Anolis sagrei: one gene and its partner. The protein of the gene in region 2 purifies or fractionates together with the protein of the main gene of each other region. This does not show direct contact. Links are inferred from orthologs where the notes say so. Each region holds a gene or a part of one and is shown on either strand. Other genes may lie near its edges.

The links.
Region 1: the proteins of SF3B4 (region 2) and RBM17 purify together in Homo sapiens (affinity purification with mass spectrometry; 4 studies listed by BioGRID and IntAct, with this or other methods). This does not show direct contact. The link is inferred for Anolis sagrei from reciprocal best matches to the Homo sapiens genes SF3B4 and RBM17.

Annotation. Positions count from the first base shown.
Region 1 is NC_090025.1:190,045,645-190,057,128, reverse strand, and holds the start of RBM17 (splicing factor 45), read left to right. Parts: upstream 1-6,727; 5' UTR 6,728-6,892; intron 6,893-7,205; 5' UTR 7,206-7,223; coding exon 7,224-7,346; intron 7,347-10,243; coding exon 10,244-10,360; intron 10,361-11,484. Other genes in the region: RAB18 (ras-related protein Rab-18), read left to right, coding at 510-682. UniProt on the Homo sapiens protein: Splice factor that binds to the single-stranded 3'AG at the exon/intron border and promotes its utilization in the second catalytic step. Involved in the regulation of alternative splicing and the utilization of cryptic splice sites.
Region 2 is NC_090032.1:5,533,871-5,545,289, reverse strand, and holds the start of SF3B4 (splicing factor 3B subunit 4), read left to right. Parts: upstream 1-6,691; 5' UTR 6,692-6,759; coding exon 6,760-6,793; intron 6,794-9,387; coding exon 9,388-9,516; intron 9,517-10,649; coding exon 10,650-11,192; intron 11,193-11,419. UniProt on the Homo sapiens protein: Component of the 17S U2 SnRNP complex of the spliceosome, a large ribonucleoprotein complex that removes introns from transcribed pre-mRNAs.

The DNA of each region.
Region 1 (11,484 bases), on a different chromosome or scaffold from region 2:
CATAAAATATAAATACTATAAATAAATAAATAAATAAATATAAAAGCAATGTTATTTTGGACTTAACTTATAAACCCCACAACTAGTTTGCACAAATATCACAACCCACAGTTTGAGGATTGCTAGGAGACTGATTAGTGAGTTGACATTAAAAACTTTTAAAGTTGGTTGCTTTGTTAGCCTTTGGTAGTTAACTGCATTGAGAGATTCATTAAATGTTTACCAAACAGAATCTATGTAATGCAAAAAGAGAAGATCTGTCATTGCAACAATACTTTTTTTTCCTAGAGTGTACAGTATATGAATTCCACACAAGTCTTTTGGCAGCTTCTGTTCATTCTGTGCCAATAGATGGAGCGACTCTTGTGCTCTGAGCTTGGTGATATAGTCTTGGGAAATAGAGATTTTTCAAGGAGGGGAAAAAGTGATGCAACATACCTTGACATTTTGTCTTTTCTCCTCCCTCCCTTCCTCCCCCCTTCCCTCCCTCCTTCCCCAAACCCACCCAGAGGCAAGTGCAAAAACGTGTGACGGTGTACAGTGTGCCTTTGAAGAACTGGTTGAAAAAATCATCCAGACGCCTGGACTGTGGGAAAGCGAGAGCCAAAACAGAGGCGTAAAGTTATCAAACGACGAAGAGGGCCATAGAGGCGCTTGTGGCGGCTATTGTTCGGTGTTATAAACTCTGGAAGACTCGTCCTTTTGTGTATTTAAATGGATAGTGATGTCCTCTGTACATAAACTCATACCTGCTATTCTAGGGACCTTGCAGTTTGCACATAACTTGTGTATCGAGGCAGTCGTCATTTTCTTTATTAAGGAAATGGCATTCTGCAGCTTTTCCAGTTCAGAAGTGTTAATGGTAAGCATGACTTGTGTATCGAGGCAGTCGTCATTTTCTTTATTAAGGAAATGGCATTCTGCAGCTTTTCCAGTTCAGAAGTGTTAATGGTAAGCATGACTAATTTGCAACATCTTCGTTCTTTTTGTATGTAGCATAAGGTGATGTGTCGCAGGAGCAAATGTGTTCAGATATCCTAATCTTATCATGATTTTTTTTCCTGAAGCCTATTACACAAACACGTTGGCTGCACTCTGCCCGATTGTAGTCTTTAATTCAGATTCTGCTGCACTATTTGAGAGACACGATGCTCAATGTGTGAGGATTCATCTTTGATTAACAAATTCTAGCATGGCTAGGTTAAACCCTTTTTTAGGTTAATGAACTACACCATTTCTGGGTTATGACCCATCCCAGCACAACTCTATGTTTTTTGGAAGAGGTGCTTCTAAAGCTGGCATGGGAAAACTTTGGCTTGGCATGTGTTTTGGACTTCAACTCCCACAATTCCTGGCCTCAGGCCCCTTCCTTTTCCCCCTCAGCCGCTTAAGCGGCTGAGGGGGAAAAGGAAGGGGCCTGAGGCCATGAATTGTGGGAGTTGAAGTCCAAAACACATGCCAAGCCAAAATTTGTCCATACCTGTTCTAAAGTAATTGGAGGAGGTGAGATACTTTTTTTAAACAGTCACTTCATTGAATAGATCGTCAAACATTTTAACCCTGGAATTTCGAATGGCAGTCTTGCACCATGGCTTTTAAAGCATCCTTTTGGACCTTCAAGATAAATCTTGTCGGGTATGGGCTTAACAGAGGTCCCATTGTGAATCACTTCTCCTGGCTTTGATGAATGCTTCTAAATGTTGTTGATTTGGTGTCGGTCGCCCAGGACTGTTGCTACTTGGTAGGCGAAGGCCCCGAATTGGGTGACAATGCTATGTGGCTCTTTTATTAGTTTTTTGGAAGCATAAGTGTTAAAACTGTCTTCCGGGTGCGTCTCTAAGGCATGTGCTTATTTTGTTTCGGTTTGCTGTAACGAACAATGGAAGCCTTGATTGTTTTCAGGGAACTTGCATAGTCTGGATTTTTTTTTCCCCTCCACAGTATTCGATTTTCTAACACCTTCCTTGTGTACAGGTGAATTTTGTAAATCACAATTCAAGGACTCTTGGAGTGATGATCCTGTAACACTAACGACTTCAAATACTACAGAGTACTGATTTGTCTAACAATACGAGCTACTGTGCAATTTCCTGTAAATATATAGCCTGAAATATCTTTATAATATTTCTTTTTTGTACACCTCGGTACTCCTCATATTATCATTGGTCTTCTGCAAATACGTTGACATTTACCACTTGGATGCACTTCACTTAAAATCTTGCTTTTTTCAGTTTTTACACTTGTTAGAAAACTTTACTAAACTGTTGAGAACTGTTCAATAACCAAACCTTGTTAAGTAAAATAACTAACTGTTCACACTCAATGCTATCCAACAGATTTTAGGAATGAATTCTAAATTTCATTTACAGCATATTTGCTAAAACAGGTTATTGAAGGGTGCCAGAGCTGGGCCATCCATGGAGGTACAACAGAATCAAATTTTATTGGAGAGAAATGTGTTTTTAACATTGGAATAAAGATTGTGAAGCAGGAACATCTGCCAGTTTTTCTTATCTCAACTGGTTATCTTTTGTGTGCTGTGTCTTTGTTCTCAGACAAAGGCTGGATGGCCATCTGTCAGGGGTGATTTGAATGCAATATTCCTGCTTCTTGGCAGGGGGTTGGACTGGATGGCCCATGAGGTCTCTTCCAACTCTTTGATTCTATGATTCTATGATTCAGACATTGCTGAGTCCCACTTACTTTGTGTCAACATTAAAACTTTGATCTGGAGAATTTTTCAAATGAAGTTTATCAGCAAGGAGACCAAAATCTTTTCCAAAGAATTGTTCCCCCTTTTGAAGAGATGAAGCATGCTTTTCTTGATTAAGATGAAAGAAAATTCCTTACGAACTGAAATCTCCCTCTAGATAGGTCTGTTCCAAATGAATAACTTTCAAAGCACAGTTAAATCCTTGTTCAGCAAACTAGGACTTCGTGGGTTTGAGGAGATTTGGTCCTTCTGAATTATTTAGTCCTCTTTATTGCTTCTTAAAGCAATGGTATTCCCCGTAGCAACCTATGGATGTAAGAGCTTGGACCATAAGGAAAGCTGAGCGAAGGAAGATAGACACTTTTGAACTGTGGTGTTGGAGGAAAATTCCGACAGTGCCTTGGACCACAAGAAGATCAAACCAGTCCATACTCCAGGAAATAATGCCTGACTGCTCACTGGAGGGAAGGATATTAGAGGCAAAGATGAAGTACTTTGAGCTCTGCGAGTGCAGCATTTTTCCAAATCAAGCAGAGAGTGTTTGAGGACCGGGGCATCCATAGGTGCTTGTTTATAAAGCTATTGTCCTCCCAACCCTGCTATACACCTGCAAGACGTGGACTATCTACAGACGTCACATGCAACTCCTAGAAGTACTTTGGCGACATCATGAGTAGATGGAATATTTTTGGAAGAGATCATGATGCTGGGGAAAATGGAAGGAAAAATGAAGAGGGGCCGACCAGAGGCAAGATGGATGGATAATAATTTTATTTTTATACCCCGCCTCCATCTCCCCGAAGGGACTCGGGGTGGCTTACAAGCGACATGGCCAGCAAATACAGATTAAAAACGAACACAAAAATACAGTCAATGTCTAAAAACAATGAAATAATATAATCAGATAAACATCATAAACCAATATTGTGGCTGACAACAATAGTGAGTTCAGGCTCAGGATTCCTAAAAGCTATTATTATTAGAAAATGTTGACAATTTCCGCTACCTTGGCAGCCACCTCTCCACAAAAGTCAACATTGACACTGATATACAACACCGCCTGAGCTCTGCGAGTGCAGCATTTTTCCAAATCAAGCAGAGAATGTTTGAGGACTGGGACATCTGTAGGGATACCAAGGTGCTTGTTTATAAAGCTATTGTCCTCCCAACCCTGCTATACACCTGTGAGACGTGGACTGTCTACAGACGTCACATGCAACTAGAACAATTCCATCAGTACTGCCTCCAAAAAATCCAGCAAATCTCTTGGGAAGACAGGAGGACAAATGTCAGCATGCTGAAAGTAGCAAAGACCACCAGCACGGAAGCGATGGTCCTCCACCAACAACTCCGCTGGACTGGCCGCTATCTGATCTCCTTCAGGAGCCCAGGGGGCACCACAGAGAAGACCCTTTCCCTCGTCCCCACCAACCGTGTTTGCTACAGAGGTGGAAGCGAGAGAAGAGCCTCCCCAAATGATCTTGGGGTATGTGCTGGTTCATAGGGGAAGATGCGATCATGAAGATAGGCAGGCCCTGAACCATTTAGAACTTTATAATGGGACCGGAAACTTATTGGCAGCAAATGGAGCTGTTTAAACGGGGGTTGACCACTCCCTGTAACTGTAATGATATCCTTGAAGTGACTGGCTTGACCTTGAAGGAACTGACCAAGGGGGAGCTTTGGTGTGGGCTGGTCCATGAGGTCACGAAGAGTCGGAGGCGACTGAATGAATAAACAACAACAAAGTCCTTCTTAAAATATAACAACTGGGACCAGTAGGATTTAGTTTGGTTGCAACTAACATTCCTCAAAGCTTTCAGTAGATATGACTAACTATGAATAAGTCTGGGTCTGTTCCTTTCCCCTTGGTCTTTATCTCACACTGCATTGGTTCTACAGATGCATTAATTGCCCTTAAACAACCTCCCCCCGCCCATGCGACTAAATATATCAGAGCTTAAATCAGCCTTTGACAATACCTTAAATCAGAGATTTTCAAACTTATCTGGCTTGTTACTCCCTTTTCAGAAAAAAAATAGTGCCCCATTGGAAATCTACCTTCTTTAAATGAACAAAGAGAACAATGTAGTGACAAATTTGCATTATTTTATATATTTGTAACTCCACTTACAATCTACAACATGGTACAGAAAGACAAATAGGAAACCTTGAAATTATAAAATCATGTATTAAAATGACCCACATTAACATTTGTAGTACACACAGAAAATTATGACAACGAAGGATATTAAAATGAAAATTATGAATAATATTTAAAATAATCCTAAATGAGGACGATGAACCTAGTGCTCTAATATTAACTTATTAATGTGTAGATCTATTTTTTTGTCAGCAGCATAGATTAATTTTTTAAAATACTTAGTCCATTTGAACCATTATTAACAGTTTGTCACACAATTCAGAAACAATCTAAATTAGATTTTATACATATCTATAGTATCAAGTTTGACATCAAGCCAGCTTCAATTTAGGATAATCTTATGAGACTTTTAAAGAGCCATGCTCAGAAATAGATCTATATCTACACAGGTAGTCCTTCACACTTGCAGATTTTGTTAATAAGGTCTAGAAATCTCTGTCTTTCAGTGCAAGTGAAAGCTAACTGCAGAGCTCCAAAATCCCTAGATGTTCTCTCAAATAAAAAATAACACTTTTCTATTTATTTATAGCTTTTTTTCACTTTTAGGGTTTTGATCCCCTAACCCTAGCAACTAGATGGCTAACTGTAGTATTGAAAGCTTGAAACAGCAAGAAGCTCAGATACTTATAACTTTCAAGATGTTATCCATCATCAAATCATGGCAGTGAACCAGATATATACAGTATTAGGGCTAATATAACCAATATATGTACCATTTGGAACCACTATATTACACCTAATATAAATAATATGCATAATAGTTGGAGCCACTACACTAGATCTAAAATAAATTGATTATATACATAATAGAGGAAATCACTACATTAGATCTAATAGAAAAATATACATAGTAATTGGAACCACTATACTAGATCTTATAAACAACATGCTTAGTAATAGGAACTACTATATTAAATCTAATATAAACAAGATACATAATAATGGGAACTACTATATTAGATCTATAGTAAATAATATGCATAATAGTGGGAATCACTACAGTAGATCTAATATAAATAATATACATAGTAATAGGAAGTACTATATTAGATGTAATATAAACATACATAGTAATGGGAACTATTATATTAGTTCTAATATAAACAAGATACATAGTAATGGGAACTATTATATTAGATCTAATAGAAATAATATACATAGTAATTGGAACCACTATATTAGATCTCATAATATAAACAACATGCTTAGTAATAGGAACTACTATATTAGATCTAAAATAAATAATATGCATAATAGTAGGAATCACTATATTAGATCTAATATAAATAATATAGTAATAGGAAGTAGTATATTAGATGTAATATAAACATACATAGTAATGGGAACTACTATATTAGATCTAAAATAAATAATATGCACAATATTGGGAATCACTACATTAGATCTAATATAAATAATTACATAGTAATAGGAAATACTATATTAGATGTAATATATACATAGTAATGGCAACTACTATATTCTAATATAAACAAGAAACATAGTAATGGGAACTACTATATTAGATCTAATATAAATATACATAGTAATGGAAGCTACTATATCAGATCTAATATAAACAATATACATAGTAATAAAGAATACTATATTAGGACTACATATAAATGGAGTACAATATCAAAGTATTTCCTGAGTTGCAGTTGCAGCTATGCGCCTTTAGGTGTCAGTGGAGAATCTTCCCCTATTCCCTTTGCTGCGTAGTTAGAGTAAACACTAACTTAGCCTTTTTGCCAGTTTACGGAACTGGCGTAGGTCTTACCTTCAGCGTGTGAAGCCTGTAGCCCAGCTCCGCCTCCTGCGCTACGAAGTTTACGCAGCCGCTGCGTCCCGCCGTTGAGACGCTCAGAGGCACGCCAAGGCGCTCTCGGGGAAGGACGCTGATTGGTTCTTTCCCTCCGTGACGCGGGAGCTTCTCCTACCCCCACAGAGGAGGCGTTTCCTTCGGCTTCGGGCCTTACTCGAGGCCCCGGCTTTGAGGCCTTGTGTGCGGAAGGGTAAGAAAAAACTGGAGGCCATTAGATTTCATTGTATACATGGGATAATATTATTTTGGAGTATTTTGGAGTTCTGGATAAGGGGTACTTGCCAGGGAGGAAGCTAGGGCCTTATTACAGCCATAAAGCCTCAAGGCCTGGGCCAACTTGGGCCCTCCAGGTGTTTTGGACTTCAACTCCCACAATTCCTAACAGCCTGCCGGCTGTTAGGAATTGTGGGAGTTGAAGTCCAAAACACCTGGAGGGCCCAAGTTGGCCCAGGCCTATTTTAAGTGATGCTGTGATTATTCTCCCTTGCCTTTTCCCTTCCTAGCTCTGAAGCAGAACCAAAATGTCGCTCTACGATGACTTGGGAGTGGAGACCAGCGATTCCAAGACAGAAGGCTGGTCCAAAAACTTCAAACTCCTGCAGTCTCAGCTGCAAGTGAAGAAGGCGGCACTCACCCAAGCAAAGGTAAGGATAAAAAGTCTGGTAGAAGCGACACCTGTCACTGATTGCTGAGGTAGCTGCCTTTAACTAAGCACAATGTTAATGTAGCAGTTATTATTATTAATATTTTGTTCAGTCAGTATCAACAAAATTGGGGTGTTGTAGGTTTCTCGGGCTATATGGCCATGTTCTAGAAGCATTTTCTCCTGACATTTCGCCTGCATCTATTTATTTATTTAAAACTGGTTTTGACCTACAAAACGCTTTACGGCTCCGGCCCAGCGTACATGTCCGAACGTATCTCCTTCTACGTTGATATTCAAGCAGTGCTCTTTCTAGGTCAGAACATAGTCCAGGATAACTCCCAGGTATTTTGGTGTGCTGCAGTGCTCCAGTGGGGGTTTCTTCCCAAGCAGTAATAATAATCTTTATTTATATCCCACTTTTATCTCTAACGGGACCCAAAGCAGCTCACAACATAATACAAATCAAATCACATTTAACATAAAATACAAGACAAAAACCACACAAAGCATAATAATGTCCAGAAATAAGACAGAAATAAATACTAAGCATTAAAAACATTTTATACCATTTATTTATTTATTTACGACATTTGTAGCCTGCCTTTCTCAACCATACGGCGACTCAAGGCGGGTTACAGATTACAATTATTGCGGAGACTCATCAATTAAAAGGTATATTTTGCTCAGCTCAGTGCAAATTAACCTTGCTATCATTAACAATTGAATTCATTCATCAAAAACCTGCTTGAACAGGTAGGTCTTCAAATGGTTCTTGAAAGATGACAGGGAGGAGGTAGTTTTAATCTCAAGGGGGAGGGAGTTCCAAAGAGCCAGGGCGGCTACTAAGAAGGCTCTCTCTCGTTGCCACCAACCATATTTGTGAGGGCGGTAATGAGAGAAGGATCTCTCTGGAAGATCTTAATGCTGTGGTTCTCAACCTGGGGTCCCCAGATGTTTTTGACCTTCAACTCCCAGAAATCCTAACAGCTGGTAAACTGGCTGGGATTTCTGGGAGTTGTGGGCCAAAAACATCTGGGTACCCACAGGTTGAGAACCACTGTCTTAATGGTCAGGCAGGTTGGTAAGAGGTGATGCGGTCAGATAGGTAATAATAATAAAATATAAAAACTATTTATATTTCACCCTGTCTTAATAATAATAATAACACTTTATTTGTACCCCGCTCCCATCTCCCCAAGGGACTCGGTGCGGCTTACATGAGACCAAGCCCGCAATACATCAAAAAATAAAACATCAATAAACAATCAATACACATAAACAAAATAGACAATAAGCAATCAACAGTAACATATAAGCATTTAAAACCAAAGGCCGGGCCAAATGTGATAGATTAAAATTAAAAAATAATGCTGATGTGAACAAGGTAGGATATAATTGGGATAGGATTTTCAGAGAGAATGCGGGAACGCAATCAATCCTAAAGCAGTAGTAAAGTGCATTTTGAGGACATAATGCTTCCCAGATGGACTCAGGGCAGATTCGAAACATAAAAGGTAAACATTCAGTGCCCGAACACAACAACAACACACCCATGATAACAAAATTTGGCAACTCAACATATAAAAACAAATTATGCCTTAATAATTAAAATTAAATAAAAACACAACCTATTAGATCGGACATTAGACAAAACATCAAACAGAAGCATCAATTTCCCAGTTCCATGGGGGCAAATAGATTGATCATTGCTCAAGATGTCTATTGAGCTGGTGGTGGGGTAAGTTGGGCCTCAAACATTTAGGGCTTTAAAGGTCAAAACCAGCACCTTGAATCGGGCTCGGAAACTTATTGGCAGCCAGTGTAGGTGCTGTAATGGTGGTGGTATGCTCCCTGGGTCCAGCACCTGTCAACCTGACTGCAGGTCTCTGAACTAGTTGGAGTTTCTGGGAACTTTTCAAGGGCAGCCCCACATAGTCTAAATGGGATGTAACTAAGATGCGGACCACCATAGCCAAGTCCAGTTTCTCAGGATACATTTGCAGCTGTCGCACAAGTTTTAATTGTGCAAAGACCCTCCTGGCCACAGCCAATACCTGGGCCTCCAGGCTTAGCAATGAGTCCAGGAGAGCCCCCAGACTTAAGACCTGTGTTTTCAGGGGGAGTGTGACCCCATCCAGCACAGGTTGCCACCCCATACCCCAATCTGCCTTACAACTGACCAGGCTTGGAGAATTATTAGCTCAAATTCAGTTTTCATCAGTGAAATGGAATGTTTAATGTCTTGTCGAAGGCTTTCATGGCTGGAATCACTGGCTTGTTTTGTGTTTTCTGGGCTCTATGGTCGTGTTCCAGAAGCATTCTCTCCTGACGTTTTGCCTGCATCTATGGCAGGCATCCTCAGAGGTTTGTTCAGAGGTCTGTGGGAATGAGGCAAGTGGATTGTATTTATATTTGTCAAATAATGTTCAGAGTGGGAGAAAGAATCCGTGTCTGTTTGAAGCAAGTGTGACTATTGCAATTAGCCAGCTTGATTAGCATACATCCTGAAAAACCCATAGCAACTCAGTGATTCTGGCCATGAAAGCTTTTGAGAACACACACAACAACATGTCCGTGTTATAACTTCTGAGCCTTAGATTTCTATTAAACATACTTATTTTTCTTTTTCTTTTTTCCCCTGGCCTACTCTTTCTTAAATAAATATTATGTTGCCACTGGCATAGATGTTGAGTTCATACTGTATTCACTCAAACTTTGTAATTAAGGGAATAATTGCAAAACCATTTTTTGAATGATAAGCATTTTTTTTCAAGCCAAGCTTAGTGGCCTGAGGGGAATAACCCCACAGATCAATGAAAAGTCTATAAAATAAAATCTCAAAGATACGATTAGTTGTCTGTGTATAATATCTTTAATGTTTTTGTGGGTGTTTAGAGCCAAAGGACAAAGCAAACCACAGTTCTTGCTCCTGTCATTGACCTGAAACGAGGCAGTACTTCTGATGAGCGACAGATCGTAGACACCCCTCCACACGTGGCACCTGGCCTGAAGGTAAGGATGTAGTTTTTAGAGGTAAGCCAGGCTTTATAAGGAAAAGGGGGCTTTTAAGATTACAGGTGGTTCTTTGATGGATCACTTTGTAGCAGAATCACCTCTCACTTTCCTCCCATCAGGAGGAAACACTCTTCTCTGCCTCCCACTTGGCAAGGAGACTCCATTGAGAGAGATGATAGAAAGGGCGTTCATAGTAGCTACATCACTAGTAGCTGCATCACTCCTATGGATCAATTTGCCCTCCTCTTAGATTTTTATTTATGCCAGAAGCAAATTGAGAATATAATTATAATGTATTAAAAATCACAAACAAAGTTAAAATCATGGCATTGGATTAAATGTCCTTTAAGCCAATGGAGTGCCTGTGGTGTTGCTGTGAGAAGGTCCTCCATTGTGCATGGGGCGGGGCCCAGGCTGCATTGTAGTAAATGGTCTGTGGTTTGCTCTTCTCCACACTCCATACCTTGTAGCCCCATTTCTTAAGGTTGGCTTTGCATCTCGTGGTGCCAGAGCGCAGTCTGTTCAGTGACTTTCAAGCTATCCAGTCTTCTGTGTGGCCAGGAGAGACTGTCTTATCCAGTCTCAGTCATTGATTAAGGTTCTGGGTTTTAACCTGCCACTTTTGGACTCTCGCTTGCTGAGGTGTTCCTGCGAGTATCTCTGTAGATCTTAGGAAGCTGTTTCTTGATTTAAGATGTTGGTGTGCTGGCTGATATCCGAACAGAGCAGAGATATCACTCCCTTGGTCCTTTCATTATTGGTTTTTACTTCCCGACGGATGTCAGGTTGTGCAATACCAGCTAAACAATATAATTTCTCCAGTGGTGTTGAGCATAGACATCCTGTGATAATACAGCATGACTCATTAAGAGCCACATCCACTGTTTTAATGTGGTGAAATGTGTTGCACACTGGGCACAACAGCAGAATAGCAAAGCTCAAGAGAAGATGTCTTCACTATGTCTGGTTGTGATCCCCAGGTTGTGCCACTCAGGTTTCATATGATATTATTTCTAGTACCCATGTTTTGCTTGACAATCAAGGAGTCCTTTTATATTACTTTTATTCATTATTGAAGCTCTAGACTGCTGTCCAAATTTGACGGGTTCACTTTTGTTTGA
Region 2 (11,419 bases):
GAAAGAAGGAAGGAAGGAGGGAAAGGGAAGGAAGGAGGGAAGGAAAGAAGGAGGGAAAGAGGGAAGGGCGGAGGGAAGGAAGGAAGGAAGGAAGGAAGGAAGGAAGGAAGGAAGGAAGGAAAGGAAAAGGAGGGAAGGAATGAAAGGAAAGCAAGCAAGAAAGGAAGGAGGAAAAAGGAGGGAGGGAAGAATAGATGGATGAAAGGAAGGACATATATCCTATATTAGCCCTCCAAATCACCCCAAAGAGCTATGGGGTTATTTTCCCCCATGTCTTGGGGTCCCATGGGCCATTGTAGACCCCAAAAAGGCCAAACATGAGCAACATCAGAAGTGCCTCTGACTTCCTTACTGTTCGGAGGAGGAAAGGCTCTGTCTAAAAGCATGGCGAGAATGCCCTCCAGCGTTTGGGTGCAAAACCAATTTTGTAAAATGGGATACAGCCCTCCCTCGTCTTCCCTGTGGGGCTGATGCAAGAAATGGCTCCCAATATATGCAAATGGAAATTGGATGGAGAGAGAGAGAGAGAGAGATTAACCTTTGTGGGATCTTTCATCCCAATGATGCATTCGATCACCCCGTAGCATGACTAGTGTTTGGTGGGGGACACGGAGAGGTTGCATGTGTCATTTGGGGTTTTGCAAGTACATAATATGTTGTTTGTGTATATATATATGTATGTGTGTGTTTTGGAAAAAATCCTATTCTTCCAGCCTTCCTCTTAAAAGAGCACTTAATCTATAGCTATAAGGGGGTGGGGCATCCCTATAGATCTGTTGGTCCCAAACGTAGCCCTCCTTTATGGGCCTTTTGCGTTTTCCTTTGCCTTACATAGCCCATCTGTAAATGCATATGGTAGGGGCCATTAAATGCTGCTTACGTACTGGATAGATAAGATAGATAGATAGATAGATAGATAGATAGATAGATAGATAGATAGATAGATAGATAGATAGAGATGGGTAGGATGGATGGATGGATAGGTAGGAGGGAAGGAAGGAAGGAAGGAAGGAAGGAAGGAAGGAAGGAAGGTAAATAGATAGAATGGACACCTGGATTGGATGGATGGAAGGAAGGAAAGATGGGTGGGTGGATGGATGGATAGATAGATAGATAGATAGATAGATAGATAGATGATAGATAGATAGATAGATAGATAGATAGATAGATAGATAGATAGATAGAGATGGGTAGGATGAATTGATAGGAAGGAAGGTAGGTAGGTAAATAGATAGAATGGACACCTGTATTGGGTGAATGGATGGAAGGAAAGATGGATGGATGGATGGATAGATAGATAGATAGATAGATAGCATAGATGGATGGATGGATAGATAGGATGGATAGATGGATGGATGGATAGGTGAATAGGATGGATATGACAGATGGATAGCTAGAGTGGGTAGGGTGGATAGCTGGCTGGATAGATGGATCAATGGATAGGATGGATGGATGGATGGATGGAAAGAGAGAGAGAGATAAATAGATAGGGATAGATAGATGGGTAGGATGGATGGATAGGTAGGAAGAAAGGTAGGTAGATAAATAGATAGGATGGACACCTGGATTGGATGAAAAGATGGATGGATGGATGGATGGATGGATGGATGGATGGATGGATGGAAAGATGGGTGGGTGGGTGGGTGTGTGGATGGATAGATAGATAGATAGATAGATAGAGTGAGTGAGTGAGTGGGTGAATGGCTGGATAGATGGATCGATGAATAGGATGGATAGATAGAGTGGATAGGGTGGATGGCTGGCTGTAGAGATGGATCAATGGATAGGATGGATGGATGGTTGGATAGATGGGTGGTTGGATAGATAAATAGAATGGATAGATGGATGGATAGGATGAGTAGATATGATAGGGTGGATGGATGGTTGGATAGATTGATCGATGGATATGATAGGTGGATGGATGGATGGATAGATAGATAGATAGATAGATAGATAGATAGATAGATCCAAGGCTGCATCCTCAGGCATAGAAACGGTACATTAAAAATTGATGCTGGAACCTAGGAATGTAATATCTCTCCCTCTCCATCTCTGTATATCATGTTTGCAAGTTTCCCCCTGTTTACCTTCTTGTTTTTGAGTGCCTGTGTATATATATATATCTCATTCAGGGGAAATATAGTTCCTCTGGTGCTGTATAGACATTCCATGGGGAAGTTTTCATGCTGCTGTTAGAGTTTTTTTTCATTTGGTACGTTGTTTATAAGCTTTAGTCCAAGAGCCTTAAGCAAAGGAGGCACAAGTGGTTTAAAGCAGCAATAATAATAATGATAATAATAATAATAATAATAATGCAACATTTTTGTATTTTTTTTCATGAGCTTTAGCTTAGGAGCCATAAGAAAAGGAAGCACAAGCTGTTTAACACTTATTATTATTACTATTATTATTATTATTATTACTATTATTATTATTAGTCATTTCATATGTTTTCATTCAGGAACCATAAGAGAAGGATGCTAATAATAATAATAATAATAATAATGACTATTATTAGACATTTCATAAGTTTTCGTTCAGGAGCCGTAAGAGAAGGACATCAGAAGACGCTTCCTTCTTGGGAGGAGAGCAATGTCCAGTCTCGATAAAATAGTGAAGAGTAGAGACATCAGACTGGCAACAAAGATCCGCCTAGTCAAAGCCATGGTATTCCCTGTAGTCACCTACGGATGTGAGAGCTGGACCTTAGGGAAGGCTGAGCGAAGGAAGATAGATGCTTTTGAACTGTGGTGTTGGAGGAAAGTTCTGAGAGTGCCTTGGACTGCGAGAAGATCCAACCAGTCCATCCTCCAGGAAATAAAGCCCGACTGCTCACTGGAGGGAAAGATACTAGAGACAAAGTTGAAGTACTTTGGTCACATCATGAGGAGACAGGAAAGCCTAGAGAAGACAATTATGCTGGGGAAAGTGGAAGGCAAAAGGAAGAGGGGCCGACCAAGGGCAAGATGGATGGATGGCATCCTTGAAGTGACTGGACTGACCTTGAGGGAGCTGGGGGTGGTGACGGCCGACAGGGAGCTCTGGCGTGGGCTGGTCCATGAGGTCACGAAGAGTCGGAGACGACTGAACGAATGAACAACAACAACAACAACAAGAGAAGGACACTAATAATAATAATAATAATAATAATACTCAGTTCTTGTGGGTTTTTTCGGGCTATATGGCCATGTTCTAGAGGCATTTCTCCTGACGTTTCGCCTGTATCTATGGCAAGCTTCCTCAGAGGTGAGGTTATAATAATAATAATAATAATAATAATAACGAAAGCTTATGAAATGACTAATTATTATTATTATTACTAACGTCCTTCTCTTATGGCTCCTGAAAGAAAGCTTATGAAATGACTAATAATAGTCATTATTATTATTATTATGACTATTATTAGTAATTTCATAAGCTTTCTTTCAGGAGCCGTAAGAGAAGGACACTAATAATAATAATAACAATGAAAGCTTATGAAATGACTAATAATAATAATAGTTATTATTATTATTATTATTAGTGTCCTTCGTTTACAGCTCCTGAAAGAAAGCTTATGAAATGATTAATAATAATAATAATAATAATAATAATTATTATTATTATCAATAATGTCCTTCTCTTATGGCTCCTGAAAGAAAGCTTGTGAAATGACTAAGAGTAATTATTATTATTATTACTATTATTAGTCATTTCATATGCTTTCTTTCAGGAGCCAACAATAATAATAATAATAATAATAATAATAATAATAATGCGTCCTTTTCTTGCGGCTCCTGAAATAAGGTTTATGAAATGACTAATAATAGTCATTATTATTATTATTATGACTATTATTAGTCATTTCATAAGCTTTGGTACAGGAGCCGTAAGACAAGGACGCTAATAATAATATTAATAATAATAATGACTATTATTAGTCATTTCATAAGCTTTCGTTCAGGAGCTGTAAGAGAAGGACGCTAATAATAATAATAGTAATAATAATAATAATAATAATTATTATTATTACTATTATTAGTCATTTCATAAGCTTTGGTTCAGGAGCCGTAAGATAAGGACACTTATTATTATTATTATTATTATTATTATTATTATTATTATGACTATTATTAGTCATTTCATAAGCTTTCGTTCAGGAGTTGTAAGAGAAGGATGCTAATAATAATAATAATAATAATAATGACTATTATTAGTCATCTCATAAGCTTTCTTTCAGGAGCTGTCAGAGAAGGAGTCTAATAATAATAATAATAATAATAATAATAATAATAATGATAAAGCAACAACAGTAAAAGCATAAGAATAAAATAAATATGGCATACATTTGCTTGTGGTTACGAAATTAGATAAATACTGCTCTCAGGTGCAATTGTAAATAGGCTGGAAATGGGATGGAAATAATAATGTTCTTGGCTTTCTATTTTAGTTGCATATCTTTGGCTTGTTCTCAGCTTTGACAAATACATTATTGCTGGATTTGGTTTTCAAAATGTTCTTTATGGGATAGATTGCTGTATATATATATATAGCTTGTTCCCAATGTTTACCTTTGCACAGCACTTAGGATGGGAACTGTGTGCTGATTTTTACACGTTTCTTGTGGCATGACGCACACGAGTAAAAACCCAGGTATCTTCTCCACAACCCATAATATAATTTTATATGGCAGGAGCTCCATTTCAGCCTCTATTAAAGATTTCAGTATTTTAAGAACTCCCAATGGTGCTCTCTTTGTTTCTTGTCTCTGAGTAGCCATTAAAAAAAATCATTTTTTGGGAACAAATGACTACCTGGCGCCCTGTGCAGCCCTTCTTCCATTGGGCTTACGTGAGTTTTCCGGGCTGTATGGACATGTTCCTGAAGCATTCTCTCCTGACGTTTCTCCCCCATCTATGGCAGGTTGAGGGGTCTGTGGGATAATGTCCAGGATGGGAGAAAGAACTCTTCTCTGTTGGAGGCAAGTGGGAATGCTGCAAGTGGCCAGCTTGATTAGCATCGAATGGCCTTGCAGCTTCAAAGCCTGGCTGCTTCCTGCAAGGGGGCATCCTTTGTTGGGAGGTGGGTGGGAGAAAGAACTCTTGTCTGTTAGAGGCAAGTAATGTTGCCAGCATCGAATGGTCTTGCAGTTTCAAAGCCTGACTGCTTCCTGCAAGGGGGAATCCTTAGTTGGGAGGTGGGTGGGAGAAAGAACTCTTTGTCTATTGGAGGCAAACGTGAATGTTGCCAGCATCGAATGGCCTTGCAGTTTCAAAGCCTGGCTGCTTCCTGCCTGAGGGAATCCTTAGTTGGGAGGTGGTTGGGAGAAAGAACTCTTGTCCATTGGAGACAAGTGTGAATGTTGTCAGCACTGAGTGGCCTTGCAGCTTCAAAGCCTGGCTGCTTCCTGCCTGGGAGACTCCTTAGTTGGGAGGTGGGTGAGAGAAAGAACTCTTGTCTATTAGAGGCAAGTGTGAAAGTTGCAAGTGGCGTCCTTGATTAGCATCGAATGGCCTTGCAGCTCCAAAGCCTGGCTGCTTCCTGCCGGGGGAATCCTTTCTTTGGAGGTGGGTGGGAGAAAGAACTCTTGTCTGAGGCAAGTGGCCACCGTGAGTAGCATCAAATGGCCTTGCACCTTCAAAGCCTGGCTGCTTCCTGCAAGGGGAAATCCTTTGTTGGGAGGTGGGTGGGAGAAAGAACTCTTGTCTGTCTGAGATAAGTGTGAATGTTGCAAGTGGCCACCTTGATTAGCATCGAATGGCCTTGCACCTTCAAAGCCTGGCTGCTTCCAGCCTGGGGGTATCCTTTGTTGGGAGGTGGGTGGGAGGAAGAACTCTTGTCTGTCTGAGATAAGTGTGAATGTTGCAAGTGGCCACCGTGATTAGCATCGAATGGCCTTGCACCTTCAAAGCCTGGCTGCTTCTTGCGAGGGGGGAATCCTTTGTTGGAAGGTGGAAGGAAGAAAGAACTCTGAGGATGCTTGCCATAGATGCAGGCGAAACGTCAGCAGAAATGCCTCTAGAACATGGCTCTATAGCCCGAAAAAACCCACAAGAACCTAAAGAACTCTTTGTCTGTTGGAGGCAAGCGTGAATGTTGCCAGCATCGAATGGCCTTGCAGCTTCAAAGCCTGGCTGCCGGGGGGAATCCTTTGTTGGGAGGTGTTAGCTGGCCCTGATTGTTTCCTGTCTGGAATCCCCCTGTTTTTTAAGTGTTGCTCTTTATTTACTGTCCTAATTTGAAGAAGTTTTTTTTCAAATACTGGTAGCCAGAAAGAAAGAAAAGGAAGGGAAAGATATATGTGGGAAGGCAAAGAAAGAAGGCTGCTGATTAGTTGAATAGCAACCCTAGTACTAACACTTCCGCCCTCTCTCAAAATGGCGGCGACGGTGTGCGTAGGTGTTTTTGCGCATGCGCACCTTTACTTTGCCTCCTCTTTCCTTTTAGTCGACGACGATCCTGCTTTCCTCGCCCTCCTTGTTCCTCAAAACACACAATAAACCGAGTGATTCATTTCATTCCTTTCCCCTTTTTGACAAAAAGAGTCGACGCGGGTTTTATTTTGCCAGGACACAAGATGGCCGACGGTGTTGACATTCCTCTGGCCCTCAGAAGAGCCACTTCCGGTCTAAAACGGAAGTTGCCCTGAAATGGACAGAAAAAGGGTGTATTGGGCCCAAGATGCTGCTTCGCCCTCACTTAGCGTCACTTCCGTCCTGGAACGGAAGTAGCCTTGCGTAGCGCTCTCCCGCCTCGGCGCCGGGGAGTGTGGCATCCAAGATGGCGGCGGGGCCCATCTCTGAGCGGAACCAAGGTAAAGGCAGGGAGGAGGAGGCCTGTTTGAGAAGGCCCAACAGCCCCAATGGCCTCCGAACGTCCCTCAAAGGAAGGAGAGAGGGGAATATTAGGGTCTGGAGAGTCTCTTCTCTGGTTTAGGCGCCAATAATGGCGGCTAGGCCAAACTGGGAAGGGGAAGCTCCAGCATTTCTGGCCTCCCTTTCCATTTCCAGCCAGGGTTTGTAGCTCTGTTGCACAAGGGCCCGCTCCAGCAGGAATTAAGCAACGAATTAACGAATCAGTGGGTTGTTGTAGGTTAGAAACAACATCATACGAAAGCTGACTGGCACAACCTGGGGATCACAACCAGACACAGTGAAGACATCTATCTGCCCTTGCGCTATGCTACTCTGCTGCTGAGTATGCATGCCCAGTGTGGAACACATCTCACCACGCTCAAACAGTGGATGTGGCTCTTAATGAGACATGCCGCATTATCACGGGATGTCTGCGCCCCACACCACTGGAGAAATTACACTGCTTAGCCTGTATTGCACCACCTGACATCCGCCGGGGAGTAGCAGCCAATAGTGAAAGGACCAAGGCAGAGACATCTCCAGCCCATCCTCTGTTTGGGTATCAGCCAGCACGTCAACGACTTAAATCAAGACATAGTTTTCTAAGATCTACAGAGACACTCGCTGGAACACCCCAGCAAGCGAGAGTCCAAAAGTGTCAGGCTCAAACCCAGCACCTCCATCCATGGGTGATACCAGATGAGAGACTCCCCCCGGGCACTCAGAAGACTGGGCGACTTGGAAGGCGCTGCACAGACTGTGCTCTGGCACCACGAGATGCTGAGCCAGTCTTAAGAAATGGGGCCCATTTTACCTGTCCGAACGGCCCAGTTTATCTGTCCGAACGTATTCTCCCCTATGAACCATCTAGGTTGTTAAGATTGTCTGGAGGGGCCCTGCTCTCAGTCCCACTGGCCTCTCAGGCATGTCTGGTGGGGATGAGGGACAGGGCCTTCTCGGTGGTGGTCCCTCGACTCTGGAACTCTCTCCCACTGGAGATCGGAACTGCCCCCTCCATTCTGTCGTTCAGAAAACAGGTGAAAACCTGGCTATGGGGTTTGGCTTTCGACGAGTGAATCAGTATTTCTGTGATTGGATAGATGACGATGAATGATGGACAACGAGTTCACTATGACGACTGACCATTGTTATTATGTGATTGCATTTTGCTGTTATAACGTTTTAATTGAATATGTTATATGATGTTTTTAATGATTGTTTTGTGATTTTATTGTTGGAAACTGGCCCGAGTCCCCCGATAGAGGGGAGAAGACCGGTATACAAAATTGCTAAATAAATAAATAGTCTGCTGGAGCTAGGTGGGAATGCAGTAATAATTTATTTGTTGTGTCAGGGCAACCAGTCAATTATATTACATTTTTAACAGAACAAAGCAAACAAACAGACAAAATACAACATTTGTGAGTTTGGTGGTTGATTAAATGTCTTTTGACCAGTATCTGGCCACTTGGAGTGCTTCTGGTGTTGCCGCAAGAAGGTCCTCCATTGTGCATGTGGCTGGGCTCAGGTTGCATTGCAGCAGGTGGTCAGTGGTTTGCTCTTCTCCACACTCGCATGTCGTGGATTCCACTTTGTAACCCCATTTCTTATGGTTGGCTCTGCATCTCGAAGTGCGGTCTGTTTGGTGCCTTCCAAGTCGCCCAGTTTTCTGTGTGCCCAGGGGGGGGGGGGGGGCTCTCTCATTTGGTATCAGCCATGGATTGAGGTTCTGGGTTTGAGCCAGCCAAAGTGTGGAACACATTTCACCACACTAAAACAGTGGATGTGGCACTTAATGAGACATGCCAAATTATTACGGGGTGTCTGAGCCCTACACCACTGGAGAAATTACACTGTCTAGCCGGTATTGCACCACCTGACATCCGCCAGGAAGTAGCAGCCAAGTGAAAGGACCAAGGCAGAGACATCTCCAGCACATCCCCTGTTTAGATATCAGCCAGCACGTCAACGACTTAAATCAAGACATAGTTTTCTGGGATCTACAGAGACACTCACTGGAACACCCCAGCAAGCGAGAGTTCAAAAGTGGCAGGCTCAAACCCAGAACCTCAATCAATGGCTGAGGGAAAGTAACGGCGCCCCATGCAATCATGCCGGCCACATGGCCCAGGAGGTGTTTACGGACAATGCAGGCTCTTTGGCTTAAAAATGGGAGATGAGCACCACCCCCAGAGCCAGAGTTGAAGGGGAATCCTTTATCTTTATCCGTGTGTCTGTATTTCATTGTTTCAAGGCATTGAATGTTTCCCTGTGTCAGTACATGCTGGAATCCGTCCTGAGTCCCTCGGGGAGATGGAGCGGAATACAAATAAAGAGTTGTTATATTATTATTATTAGCCAAGAATTCTGGGAGTTGGAGGCCCAAACAGCTGGAGGACTGTGGTTTAGGGATGCCTGATCTAGAACTAGACTTTTAATTGATGCAGCCTAGGATCACATCAAAGTCAGCTTTAGGTTCAAATGTAACATCAGCAAACAAGATTCATGAAGGCATTTGAGACTATAACTATTGTCCCTCTCTTATCTGCTGCAGATGCCACTGTGTATGTTGGCGGCCTGGATGAAAAAGTCAGCGAACCCCTCCTGTGGGAACTCTTCCTCCAAGCAGGACCAGTGGTTAACACTCACATGCCCAAAGACAGAGTCACGGGCCAACATCAAGGTAAGCAATTCCAGCACCTTTTCTCAATGTGCTGTGTTATGAATGGAGTAAATCCACCAGCTCTTAGACGTTAAGCAGGGGCAGGCCTGGTGAGTACTTGGATTGAAGGCTACCAAGAAATCTCAAGTTCTGTAGCTGTATTTCAAAGGTAAAATCACCTCTGTGTATTCCTTGCCCAGGAAAACCCTCTGAAATTCATGGGGTCGTCACAAGTCGTCAAGGCACATACACAAACAAGATCCTTTTACTTCAAATCTTGAAGACTAGACTTCCAGAGCATGGGAAAATAAGGCTCCTTTTAGGACTGACACTGCCAGGATCCCCTAGTCAGCTATGCTATGACAGTTGGGGGATTTTGGGACTGGTAATCCATAAAGAGGAGCCCCCGGTGGCGCAGTGGGTTAAAGCACTGAGCTGCTGAGCTTGTTGATCGAAAGGTCGCAGGTTCGATCCCAGGGAGCGGCGTGAGCTTCCGCTGTCAGCTCTAGCTTCTGCCAACCTAGCAGTTCGAAAACATGCAAATGTGAGTAGATCAATAGGTACCACTCTGGCGGGAAGGTAACGGCGCTCCATGCAGTCATGCCGGCCACATGACCTTGGAGGTGTCTACAGACAACGCTGGCTCTTCGGCTTAGAAATGGAGATGAGCACCACACCCCAGAGTCAGACATGACTGGACTTAATGTCAGGGGACTACCTTTACCTAATCCATAAAGAGGATCTTTCCCAAACACAGAATGACTTATTATTATTACTAATATTAGTGTAAATGCACCCAAGTGTCTTTTAATTCTACAGTAGTGAATAGAGGGATAACCTTAAGCAGTGACAAAATATAATATTTCTTTAAAAAGAAGGTTTTTACAACCAAGTTAGGATTTGCTGTGGTTTTAACTATAAATAAGTTTTTAAATCGGTTTTAAGGGTTTTAGCTCATTATTTTTAATATTGTTAATATTTAATTATATTTTACTGCTTGTATATTTTTAGGTTTTAAATTTTATTGTTGGTTTTACTATAAACTACTTTGAAGTCTTTCTTTTTAGAGAAAAAAGCAGGTTTAAATAAAAATACTAAAAAATAATAAGATAAGATGTGATCAGCGCAACGCTTGGCTTTGCCTCCCTTTCCAGGCTATGGCTTTGTGGAGTTCCTCAGCGAGGAGGACGCGGACTACGCCATCAAGATCATGAACATGATCAAGCTCTATGGGAAGCCCATCCGGGTCAACAAGGCCTCGGCCCACAACAAGAACCTGGACGTGGGGGCCAACATCTTCATTGGCAACCTGGACCCCGAGATCGACGAGAAGCTCCTGTACGACACCTTCAGCGCCTTTGGGGTCATCCTGCAGACCCCCAAGATCATGCGGGACCCCGACACGGGCAATTCCAAGGGTTACGCCTTCATCAACTTCGCCAGCTTTGACGCCTCCGATGCCGCCATTGAGGCCATGAACGGGCAGTACCTTTGCAACCGCCCCATCACCGTCTCTTATGCCTTCAAGAAGGACTCCAAGGGTGAAAGGCATGGCTCAGCCGCCGAGCGTCTCCTGGCTGCCCAGAACCCACTTTCTCAAGCTGACCGGCCTCATCAGCTCTTTGCAGATGCTCCTCCCCCTCCATCCGTGCCAACCCCAGTTGTTACCACCTTGGGGCCTGGCGTCACCCCACCAGGTATTATTATTATTATAATTTGCTGTTGTTGTTGTTAACTTTATTTATTTCCAGCATTTCTTCCCGCCTACCTTTGTGACCGTATCTCTCTCCATGAACCAGCCTGAACCCTTCGATCTTTGGGCAAGGCCCTCCTTTCGCCCTTGCCAGTCTCTCAGACTCGGCTTCTGGGTACAAGGGAGAGCCTTCTCCTCTGTGGCCCCCCGACTCTGGAATTCATTGCCCAC